3 linked regions of the Daphnia pulex genome follow. The protein of the gene in region 1 purifies or fractionates together with the protein of each later gene. This does not show direct contact. Links are inferred from orthologs where the notes say so. Each region holds a gene or a part of one and is shown in the gene's direction. Other genes may lie near its edges. The genes, in order: thioredoxin-2-like; COP9 signalosome complex subunit 5-like; apoptosis-inducing factor 1, mitochondrial-like.

Region 1 (3,238 bases):
TATTATTAACGGAGGAGCAGCCGAATCGAGAGCAATGGCGTAGGTGCCCACGCTGGCAAACACGTACACACACAACACAACAGCCATTGATGTGGCAAGGGTATAGGGAATGAGCACACACACACACAGAGTCAAGGCTCGTTGTTTAGACGGTGGGGTTGGTTAAAAAACTTAATTAAAACACGTTGAAAACACTGATCGAGTCGATGAAAATGAGCGAAACGGATGGAGGACTACCTTAGCGGCGCGGCACACGTGACCCTGCCCCCGAGAATTCCATCATTCGAAATAATATCCCTTTTTCTCTTTACACTAGCTCCGAGTAGTCGGTTGTAAGAAAAAAGTTAAAACCGCGACACATCCACAAGCCTTGGCTGGGCTGCTGCTGCTGCTGCCCAAGCTCCGCCCACTGTATAGCCCAACGGTTTCCCCCTAGTCTCGCCAGTCAGAACCTTTGGGGTTCTCTCCAACGAATTCACGGAGGGACTTTCTACAGACAATTTTCACCAGCACCAGCAGTACGGGGAGAAACGAATATGTTGACGTCACCAAGCCACCCCCCTCCAATGGACAACTGGACTCCACCCCCTCCTCTCTAGGCTTCTCGTTTCTCTGCTTCTCTCTCAGATGCCTCTTCGTTTAATGAGGTAACTTTTGCACCCACATCGTATACACACACACACGCAGCAACACGATTGTACACACCTAATACGATATACTGTTGCAATCAGCGAGAATTAATTACAAGCATTTTCTATACTAGTCACAATGCTTTCTTCGGGTGACGACGACGCCATTGACTGATTAATTTCGACTATCGGTTGCTAGATGGCATTGTGCGATTGTGGGCTCCCCCTATGTTTTTCTGATGACATTCTTTGGTTCATTTTTATTCATTTTTTTATTTAATCGCATCACTGTGGCTCTTTAATCAAAGCCGTGGGTTGTGATGAGGGGACCTTCCATTAATGTGCATCGTTCACGATTTACGTTTTACGTCAGCAACAAAATGTATGTTGGAAAAGGGGGCGGTACTAGAGGTTTTTACTCACTAGGTAGGTCACTACTCCATTCGTTGGCTATAATTTACTACAGAAAACTTTTAGACACCATGAAAAATTAAACGATTACTAAAAATAATGATCAACGCGTGAAAGATAAGTTTTCAAGTGCTCGTGAAATTGAATCTTTTCCTTGGGGACTGATGCTTCGCCACTAGATGGCAGACTATGAGATCCAACCAAACTTGATTTATTAAAGGCCCGAAGAATCAATTAGAACCCAAGCCTAAATGTTCTCATTTTTCCCACCAGTGGCGCTAGCAACAAACATAAGACACTTGTCCGATCTGTGCGTTAAATTCTGACTCGTCATTTTACGCTTGAGCCGGTCGTTTGCAAGTAGCTCGTCGAGGATCTTCACGTGACATTCGATTCCTGCTGTTCGTGTAAACTTTGGGATATATTAATCATCATGGTCTATCAAGTTAAGGACAAGGTACACATTTCAATCGACTCATGCTCTCGGTTTTTGTTACATCATCGTTTGAAAGGAGAGAAACGCCATCAATTTGACCTCCTTTTATCGTTGTTGCGTTATGCCAAATTACAAAACCAACAACAAACTCGTGGACGGTTCCTTTTCCGTGTTTGATATACTTTCTTTTTGAAAAATTCTAGCAAGACTTCAATAACCAGTTGAAGGAAGCAGGAGGAAAATTAGTTGTTGTGGACTTTTATGCCACTTGGTGTGGCCCCTGCAAGATGATTGCTCCAAAAATTGAGGTCACCAACTTAATATTCATAACTGTTTCAAAGTAGGTGTTTCATCAACTTTCAAATTCTACTGCAGGCAATGTCGAAAGAGATGCCCAATGTTGTTTTCGTTAAAGTTGATGTGGATGAATGTGAAGATGTTGCATCTGAGTACAACATTTCGTGCATGCCTACATTCCTCTACTTGAAGAATGGTGTAAAGGTGAGTCATCTCTAAAAATTTCATAATTACAGCTTTCTAACTGTCGTTTCATTATAGGTTGCTGAGTTTTCTGGAGCCAATGAAGACCAGCTTAGAAAACTGATTGATCAACATAAATAGATTTCCCAGTTATGTGGCCTGTATATTGGCTAGATGAATACTATGCTCTTTTATATTAAATAATTGTGTAATGGGATTTTCTGCATTATACCACAGGAAATACAGGCTGACAAAAAAATTGTTCTTTCATTGTTAGATACAAATTACACTATAAACTAAAAGCATTTTCACATTTTCCCAATTGATGTGAACTGCAGCGTTTTTCATACCATTAAGAAGCCATAGCAACGGGAACCCCGACTTCAACAACAGCAATAATTTAATGACATTGCCTAAACCTAAATCGATGAATGCGTTCGATAAAGCTTTAACTAACTATATTAATATTGATCAGTGTGTCGTCCCTCTCTCGCTTGTAATGAAATCCAGTTTTTACGGTTGGGTTCTTGATAACTATAAGGATTTCACGGTCAGATTTAAATCGCTCAGTAACACACACACAAAGAGCCGAAACAGCCGCTATATCCAATCGATAACATAATAATTGGATTTCGAGTAAAACGTGACTCTCTAGCAATCTTTATTACATCAGATCTGATTACGACGGCAGTTAATACATTGTAATGGAAAAATTAAGGCACCGAGAGGGTCTACAGAATTTCCTATAGAAAAATGAGCCTACGATCAGAAAGGGAACCCTAAAAATTATAACAAGATACAACTGCATTTTCTTCCTGTTAGCTACAGCGATCACAACGGAATGTAAATTTAGAGTGCTCTTTTCCGTTTTGGAGGACACTTTGTCTAGTTATAGCGGGAAATTACCAAATAGGATGGGAATTTTTATTGCGCCATCCATTTCGTTTAACTGCAACTAGAATCATAATCGAAAATTATTCGACCGAATATTAATGATATGCCAATTCGGAATCAACGACAAAATTTACAATAAATTACGATTTTATTGCTACAATAAATTGCGTAACTTTTCCCAATATTATCGGCACAAAAAAAAATTCCCAATTCGATCATCTCAATCGATACTTAATCCAAAAACATTTAGTTCGCAGAACATTTCTGCCACTGAGACTTCATTCGACATCGACGAGCTACTGATCAAGACGTACATCAAGCATCAAGATGGGAAAACAGACACGTGAACGTCAACTGAAACTCGAAGCCAGAATTGTGAAGCTGAAAA
Region 2 (3,512 bases), on another chromosome or scaffold:
AATTTCTTCCGTTTTTCTTGACTTGCCATTACAGTACTGGGGATTTTTCAGAGAACGATCAATAGGGGTACCAGATTTTGCGGCAAGGAGCATGTTTCTTTGAAAACTCGTGATGCCACTGATCGCTATGTGCAAAGCCATCGTATCAAAAAATCGAACTTTGGTGCCATCGATGAAATACTGCTCTTTTATTCGCGAACGGTCATAACTTACATTATGTCCTATAACGATACGCTCTTTTTGATCTTTGAGAGGGAGACGGTCTTGTTCCGTTTTTGATTCCAAGTTGATCAAGTCCTTTAATTCATAAATACTTTCCATATCCTTCAAAATTGAACTTTGCACCTGTCAAGTAGGATAATAAAGCATTGATATAGGGTGAAAAAAGTATTAAGAAAAATAAAAATAAACCTTATTTTCAGTAAACAGCTGATTACTACACCATGAGTACCAGTAGTTTTTTGAAACTGCAGTTGCAAGGGTTGGCAAATGGCCCTCTTTCACACAGACTTCCACATCAAAGACATATGCATCCTCTTCTGGAAAATGAACTAGATCCATCTCTCCATTTTGGTTGTATCTTGTCCATCCAGGTGCAAAGTTCCAGACTTGAGGGATGTCTGGAATGCAATGTGATGTCAAATCTAACAATTTATTACGGTAACTTCCACATTGTTTTTCAGCAATTTTTTCAAAGTGTTCTGCTATGTTTTTTCCTAATAAAGTTGGGAGCTTCAAATCAATATCTGGGAGTTTACTTGGTGATTTGCCATAAAGATGGTGAATTGATAAATGCTGCTGAATTTTTAACAGCGTTTCTTTAGATACAGAATTGTTGTTTTCTTTTTCGAATATCTGTCGATGGATAGATCTTGATAACATTTGTATACCACACGGATTAATAGTAACACATTTGTTTGAAATAGATACTTCTTCTTTGCATTGGCTTTTTGTTGAAAAATGTATTCTATAATTATGAAGAATATTTAAACTAGATAATGAATATTTCCAAGGTATTTTCCTACGGTTATGTTTAATTTGCCACACTCGAAACGAAAGCATGTTTGGAAACAAGTTTGAATTTGTTTATCGGGCATCGGCAACTCCACGGTAAGAAATAGTAAAACGTGGGAAAAAGAGTAGATAGGGATTTAGTGGTGAGGCAATGGACAATGGACTAATGGAGTAGGAGAAGTCAGAAGTACTGAAGTAGCAGTCGTAGCAGACTAGGCAATCGCAGTCGTCCAATCCATCCCTGAGGCTGAAATCCTACGTTTTACTTTGTTCCTACCACCGCCGCGACCCGCATTTTACCTCTTCATTCTCCCAGCAGCTCCCAGTATGCCAAAGGCAAAACAAGACCCGTAGGTCGTAGTCTCGTAGACGACATCAACAGTCGATGAGATTTAGTTTCCGGCTGTACGTTTGGATTTGATATATTCAGCACTGGTATACCTCGTTCGAATTTCCCCATTTGGACTTTAGAGTGTCTTTTGCAAAAAGAGGTTTCAAGTAAAATTGGTTGTGTGTTCCACATCCAAGATGAGTTCACAATCTAACATAGCCCTGAATAATTGGCTCATGGCTAATAATGTGGAAAATATTAGTTCAGTTGACGAAATTTATCGATATGATAGAAAGCAACAGCAAGACATGTTGGCTGCTAAACCATGGGATAAAGAGTAATATTATTTTTTATTTTGTATCAAGTCATGTTAACAACTTTACGTTTTATGTTCTAGCCCTCATTTCTTCAAAGAGATCCGTATATCAGCCTTGGCATTGTTGAAAATGGTTACTCATGCTCGGTCTGGAGGACATCTAGAAGTGATGGGATTGCTTTTGGGCAAAGTAGATGCAAACACAATGGTGGTAATGGATGCATTTGCCCTGCCAGTTGAAGGCACAGAAACCAGAGTAAATGCTCAGTCACAGGCTTATGAATACATGACTGCTTACATAGAATCAGCTAAACAGGCAAGTACATTTGCTCTTGATCACATTTTTAAGTAACTAATTGGAATATGAGTATTAGGTTAATCGTCTTGAAAATGCCATTGGATGGTACCATTCACACCCTGGATATGGATGCTGGCTATCAGGAATTGATGTTTCTACCCAGATGCTTAACCAAAATTTCCAGGAACCCTTTGTTGCTATTGTTGTAGATCCTGTTCGTACTATTTCAGCTGGCAAGGTGTGTCTTGGTGCCTTCCGTACATACCCTAAGGTGAACAGATATATTTTTCTATCAAGCGTACAGAGTAGTTTACTTTTTATTTTTCCTTAGGGTTACAAACCCCCAAATGAAGAGCCAAGTGAGTATCAAACCATCCCACTCAATAAGGTTGAAGATTTTGGTGTCCACTGCAAGCAGTACTATGCCCTTGAGGTTTCTTACTTTAAATCAGCTCTGGATCGCCGTCTATTAGACTCATTATGGAATAAGTACTGGGTCAGCACATTGAGTTCTTCATCTCTCACCACAGTAAGAACAAATATTCAAAGCGTTATATCATGTTATAAAAAGTATTAATATCTCTTTTTATTAGAATGCTGATTATACAACAGGTCAAGTATCGGACCTTTCGGAAAAACTTGAGCAAGCTGAAAACTCTCTAGGACGGGCGGCTCTAGTCGGAAGCGGCGTTGGTGTGAGTGGCTCCAGCATTGAGGATAGAAGATCGGAAGATAGGCTAGCTAAAGCAGCTCGTGATGCTACAAAAACTTCCATTGAAGCTCTTCATGGTTTGCTGGCTCAAGTAATTAAAGATCGTCTGTTCAACCAAGTGCGTTCAAGGCCTGCGTGAACCATCTCGTTTTTCTAAATATCCTCTGAGAATCCTTAATAATAAACTGGCTTATGCATACCATTTTGTTTGTGTTTTCTGTGAATGAGTTACCAAGTGTTAGAATATATTGTATTGAACATGTAAAATTCTTTGGCTATATCTCTAATAATGGGGTCAAGATTGAACAGCAATTGTGGGCAATATAAATAATTGTTATGTGAAGAATCTCCACGTTAGTTCATCGGAATGCTCAAAAATGTGCAAAACAATAAGAATCGAACATTAAAGTTGCCAAGTCGCAGTAGGATCCATTGCCATTGCGCGGCAAAATGTCATTTTTATGAGTTTAAATAATTATTTTAGGTTCACGTATTTGTAAGGTTATAAGACTAATAATATATCGGACATGCCAATCACAAATGAGATGAAGGGTCCTTTGAATGCCGTTTGCTGTCAGATGTAGGTAAAAATAAAAGTGGTACCATTCCAAGCACACATCCTATAGCAACACCAATAGCACGTCCGATATTAATGGCCCAAGTAGTTGATCGAAAAGCATATTGCCGAGGCTCGAGATCGGGTTGAGGAATTCCTAGTTTTTGAGAAAAAGACTCGACGAACTGAGCAGATCCTACTCCAGCAACATCAGATATTGCATTTCCTATTCCAGCTGCTGCCATAGTAGAAATACCAAACATACTTCCAATTGTTAAATCTATG
Region 3 (4,448 bases), on another chromosome or scaffold:
CCAGTGCCGGTCCTGTACCGACGGTATATGTACATCGTCCTTTTTTTCTTTCAGAATGACATATTCGTTTGGAATGAATAAGCATCATCACATTAGCTCAATCATGGAAAAGGAAGCTGCTGTGCTCATCAGATTTCCTCAAGGCGATAAGTCTACACACGAGTTTTCCCGCGAGCATAGAATAAACCGTTTAATATTAATTGTTTACGTCAAACTCACGCGGGAACATTGAAAAATGTCGCAAAACTGCTGGACATGAATTTAGATTTTGTATTGAAAATGAATAGCGTCAAATTAAATTTGTTTGACTTTTATTACACCATTATTGGTCAGCTTAAATTTACTGCTGTGTAATCATGGTGATGGGTTGGTGCCATCATTCAAGAGTAATTGTTCCGGTTTGAGTCGCATGACCGTGACGAAGGTACGCACCAAATTTGATTACCCTAAAAAGGCAATCCCACAGACCACTGATCTTTTAGAACCGCCGACAAAACCTGTTATTAGCGACCCTGTACCTTTGAAAAATTGTGAGTCGCAATTTGTGACGAATGATTAAGTCGTCACAAAAAATGACGTTCAAACGGACACAAAGCCAGCGAGGTGAGTTTTCCACAGGCAGATGACTAATATTTCTATTTTGTTCGCCATAGAAATCAAACCGAATAAAAAAAGGTACATTAATAACGCTGCTAGACAGGAGTGCTGCATGTTAAGTAGAAGAAGAATTGAGCTAAACAGCACACGCAGGAGTGCAACAAATATTTAAAATATGTACGCACCTGACTGGACATTTCTAGGTTTAAAATGCTAAGTTTGTTCATCAGTGCGTGGTGATTTTTCTTGTTAGAAAAATGAATAAGGAAATTCGCCGTAAATAATTCCTTTATCCCGCTCTTTATATAGCGTACAGTTACCTTGACTTTGAATGTAGGGTTCACTGCGGTCGCTGTATAGAGACATTTCTTGCCTGTATAAATAAACAACAGATTTCAAAAGGATGCGAGGTAAAACCCGTATTAAAGGACCAAAGATCTATCGGGAAGGAAGAAAAAAGTGCGTCGTTCATTATTTGCGTGCGACAGGGAGAAACGGAGCTAAACAAATTTGACGACAATGGCCGGCAACAACTTATTAAGTTTCAAGATCATTTAGCCAAAAGGATATTTAAATTTCCTGGTCTTGGAAGGGGACGTTTATTTTCTTTGAACATTATTGGGCGACTATCCATTAAACCACAAACGAATGCTCTCGTTGCGTAGCCTGAGGGACGAATGACATTTGCAACAGAAAACAATTAATTGGCAAAAGTTAAAATAGCCTAGTAAAGTAGTAATCCTTTTTTAAACTTAACGAATTCAGAAATATTTGTTTGAATCATAGTGCAAATAATCGCCACAGGTGGCGTAAAGCTTGTTCTTTCTTTAAAGCAAATAATGAGAAAAACTTTTTTTCTATCTGGTTAACATTTTAAAAAATTTTTAATCATTAAATTATCGCTCTTTTTCATATTCTTATTCATTATTTATCACAAAAGAAGTGTGTTTCGAAATTGGCAACGTTCTCTGATCACGTGCTCCAGAGTCCTTTCTCCTCCTCCTTTTTCTCCATCTTGGCCATTTTCGAGGACGTGACCGGTCTCAATCTCGAAATTTTCGTTTACAAATCGGCTCGAAAATGTACAGATGCCGGCAATTGGTTTCTCAATGCTCAACCACCATTAAGTCAAATCTTGGTCATGGCAGACAACGATTTGTCGGTAAGATATAATTTCATTCATTTATGTGTAGTTTATATGAATTGCCAGTTTCAAGAAACTATAGCAACGTGTCTGTAAGTTTAGGAACTGATACGATGTGTATTAATTAGGCGAAAGTACAACTAAGAGATTCGGCTCAGATCATGGCTACAACCCGCCAGCAATTAAACCGGCCACGTTGAACGAAATGCCTACACCTAAGGGTTCTTGGGCTTCAGAACATTCCCGAGTACAAGCAAAGTACAACATGCACTTGGCTGCAGGTTTGGGTTTCACGGCTTTCACAGTTTTTGTGGTAAATTAAATATTTATGTAAAATGTTACAGCATCGCTAACAGCATTTTCTACACACACAGGGATACCAAACAGGTTCATTCTACCTTAACCTTGGCCCCGAATTGAATACCAAAGTCAATGTATTGAGTCACGAACAGGTTCGCAAGCAGGCAGCAGAAGCTGCAGCAGCCGCTGCTACAATTGTAGAAGAGCCTATTTCTGAACCAGAAGTTGTTGCTTCAGTGGAAATTGTTGAAGAGGTTGTTCCAGTTGCAGTTGTGGAAGAAGCTGCTCCAGTTGCAGTTGTGGAAGAAGCTGCTCCAGTTGCAATTGTAGAAGAGGTTGTTCCAGTTGCAGTTGTAGAAGAGGCTGTCCCTGTGGCTGAAGTTGCTTCCGTCATCGTTGAAGAAGTTGCTCCAGCATCTGTACCTGAAAGTGTAGAAGCTGTCCCAGCTCCTAGTGGAAATGAATCAGGGCCCTCTGATCAATCAGAAGGTGAAGTTCAATCTGATCCTACAGTGAGTGTTGCCTTGACTGTAGAAGTTGTTGCTGAAACTGTTTCTGATGGTTCTTCATCAGTCACAGAATCACAATCATAAGTTAGTTATTAATTTAGACTCATTCGCTAGAATAGATGAATTGTATCAAAACTGCCACATCTATTCAGTCCATTAACAAAATAGTCTTATTTTGGAATATCGCCAATTTTAGCCCAGTGCCCAAAAATTTATTTTAACCTTCAGAGTTTATTGTTTGTAATTTGCCGCAACACTGGCTAAATTTCGATTCAAAGTGTAGGTTGTGAAATATTTGATGAAATGAATGGTTGGTGGAAGACTTATTGTACGTTGGCCGATTAGAAGCAATACAATTTCGAGGGAAGCTGAGTGTTTGATCAAGAAATCCCTTCTTTTAGCTGTAGAAAAATTTTCTTAATGTAGAAAAGTTCTTAATTTTATTTTTTTCCTTTTTTTTTAACAGTAGTTCCAGCTGCAGCAGCAGCCGTTGCAGTCGCCGGTGATTTTCCCGTGCACGTTCCTTATCTATTGATTGGAGCTGGTACTTCATCGTTTGCCGCTTTCCGTGCCATCAAATCACGTGACCCGAAAGCAAAGGTAAAAAAAATTTTTATTGGTTTTGTTTACATGCATAGTAAAAATATTTGTGTTGTACCCATTACAGGTTTTAGTCATCGGTGAAGAAAATCACTTGCCCTACATGAGACCACCTCTGTCGAAAGAATTGTGGTTCAGTGAAGACCCCGAAGTTTCAAATAAACTTCGATTTAAACAGTGGAACGGCAAAGAGCGAAGGTGAGCCCAATGTTAATTACAACTATGTGGAACATGTACTAATGACTTATTTTCCTTCCCAGTCTCTTTTTCGAACAAGACGAATTCTATTGCAATCCCGTCGAATTGAACAGCAAAGATAATGGCGGCGTTGCAGTTGTACGTGGACACCGCGTCGTTAAACTTGACATTGTTGGTCGGAAAGCCGAACTTGACGATGGTCGTACCATCACATACGACAAGTGCCTTATTGCCACAGGTAAACATTTTATGCTAAACGAAATTCGTCTTTAAAAGTCTCAATGATTACACCCTTATGGAATGTTGAACAATTTTGATAATTATCCTGCTAGATAGTATCTGAGAGCCTTTTTAAATTTCAGCAATTTATTTGTGTTTTTACGAATCACTCTAAAAATGGCCGTTGTTTTATTGCTAGGTGGTAAACCGAAATCTTTGCCATCCCTGAGCAGTGCCCCTAAAGATGTCCAGGAACACTTAACCTTGTTCCGCAACATCGATGACTTCCAGCGACTCGACTCCATCTCCCGCCAGGTCAAGTCCATCACCATTATCGGTGGTGGATTCCTTGGCAGTGAACTTGCCTGTGCTCTTGGCAGAAGAGGTAAATAATTGAACCATTCATAAAATCATTTTAGTCACTGTGATTATAAATTATGGAATGTTGAACGACTATGATTGTCTTCCTGCTAGATAGTATCTGAGTATTAACCTTGTTTTGAATCCATTCAAGTTGTTGGCAAATTGCATAATGGAAACATATCTTTCATTTAGCCAAAAGTAATGGATTGGAGGTGCTTCAAGTTTTCCCTGAGGACGGTAACATGGGCCGAGTCCTCCCTAAATATTTGAGCCAATGGACAACCGAGAAGGTGAAAGCGGAAGGTGTTCAGGTTATGCCCAAAGCTATTGTTGAGGGTGCAAGCTTGGAAGACAACAAGGTCGTATTGACCTTAAACGATGGTCAAAAGGTAAACATTTATTTTAATACATGTCTTAGCGATGTCAACTAAAATCTAACAATTATTTCATCAGATTAAAACTGACCATGTTGTCGTTGCTGTTGGTTTGGACGCAAACACGGATTTGGCCGTCGCTTC

What was found.
Region 2: the proteins of thioredoxin-2-like (region 1) and COP9 signalosome complex subunit 5-like purify together in Homo sapiens (affinity purification with western blotting; 3 studies listed by BioGRID and IntAct, with this or other methods). This does not show direct contact. The link is inferred for Daphnia pulex from reciprocal best matches to the Homo sapiens genes TXN and COPS5.
Region 3: the proteins of thioredoxin-2-like (region 1) and apoptosis-inducing factor 1, mitochondrial-like purify together in Homo sapiens (affinity purification with mass spectrometry; 3 studies listed by BioGRID and IntAct, with this or other methods). This does not show direct contact. The link is inferred for Daphnia pulex from reciprocal best matches to the Homo sapiens genes TXN and AIFM1.

Annotation. Positions count from the first base shown.
Region 1 is NC_060019.1:1,507,904-1,511,141, reverse strand, and holds thioredoxin-2-like, read left to right. Parts: upstream 1-1,354; 5' UTR 1,355-1,473; coding exon 1,474-1,497; intron 1,498-1,679; coding exon 1,680-1,784; intron 1,785-1,851; coding exon 1,852-1,977; exon of another isoform or gene 1,978-2,034; coding exon 2,035-2,097; 3' UTR 2,098-2,653; downstream 2,654-3,238. Other genes in the region: E3 ubiquitin-protein ligase rnf8-B-like, read left to right, coding at 3,178-3,238. UniProt on the Homo sapiens protein: Participates in various redox reactions through the reversible oxidation of its active center dithiol to a disulfide and catalyzes dithiol-disulfide exchange reactions.
Region 2 is NC_060026.1:5,023,537-5,027,048, reverse strand, and holds COP9 signalosome complex subunit 5-like, read left to right. Parts: upstream 1-1,474; 5' UTR 1,475-1,542; coding exon 1,543-1,682; intron 1,683-1,742; coding exon 1,743-1,977; intron 1,978-2,035; coding exon 2,036-2,230; intron 2,231-2,290; coding exon 2,291-2,488; intron 2,489-2,552; coding exon 2,553-2,810; 3' UTR 2,811-2,870; downstream 2,871-3,512. Other genes in the region: transmembrane protein 65-like, read right to left, coding at 3,206-3,512. UniProt on the Homo sapiens protein: Probable protease subunit of the COP9 signalosome complex (CSN), a complex involved in various cellular and developmental processes.
Region 3 is NC_060023.1:11,493,226-11,497,673, forward strand, and holds the start of apoptosis-inducing factor 1, mitochondrial-like, read left to right. Parts: upstream 1-1,565; 5' UTR 1,566-1,677; coding exon 1,678-1,759; intron 1,760-1,843; exon of another isoform or gene 1,844-1,869; coding exon 1,870-2,054; intron 2,055-2,115; coding exon 2,116-2,530; intron 2,531-3,016; coding exon 3,017-3,150; intron 3,151-3,217; coding exon 3,218-3,348; intron 3,349-3,410; coding exon 3,411-3,586; intron 3,587-3,766; coding exon 3,767-3,952; intron 3,953-4,122; coding exon 4,123-4,319; intron 4,320-4,383; coding exon 4,384-4,448. UniProt on the Homo sapiens protein: Functions both as NADH oxidoreductase and as regulator of apoptosis.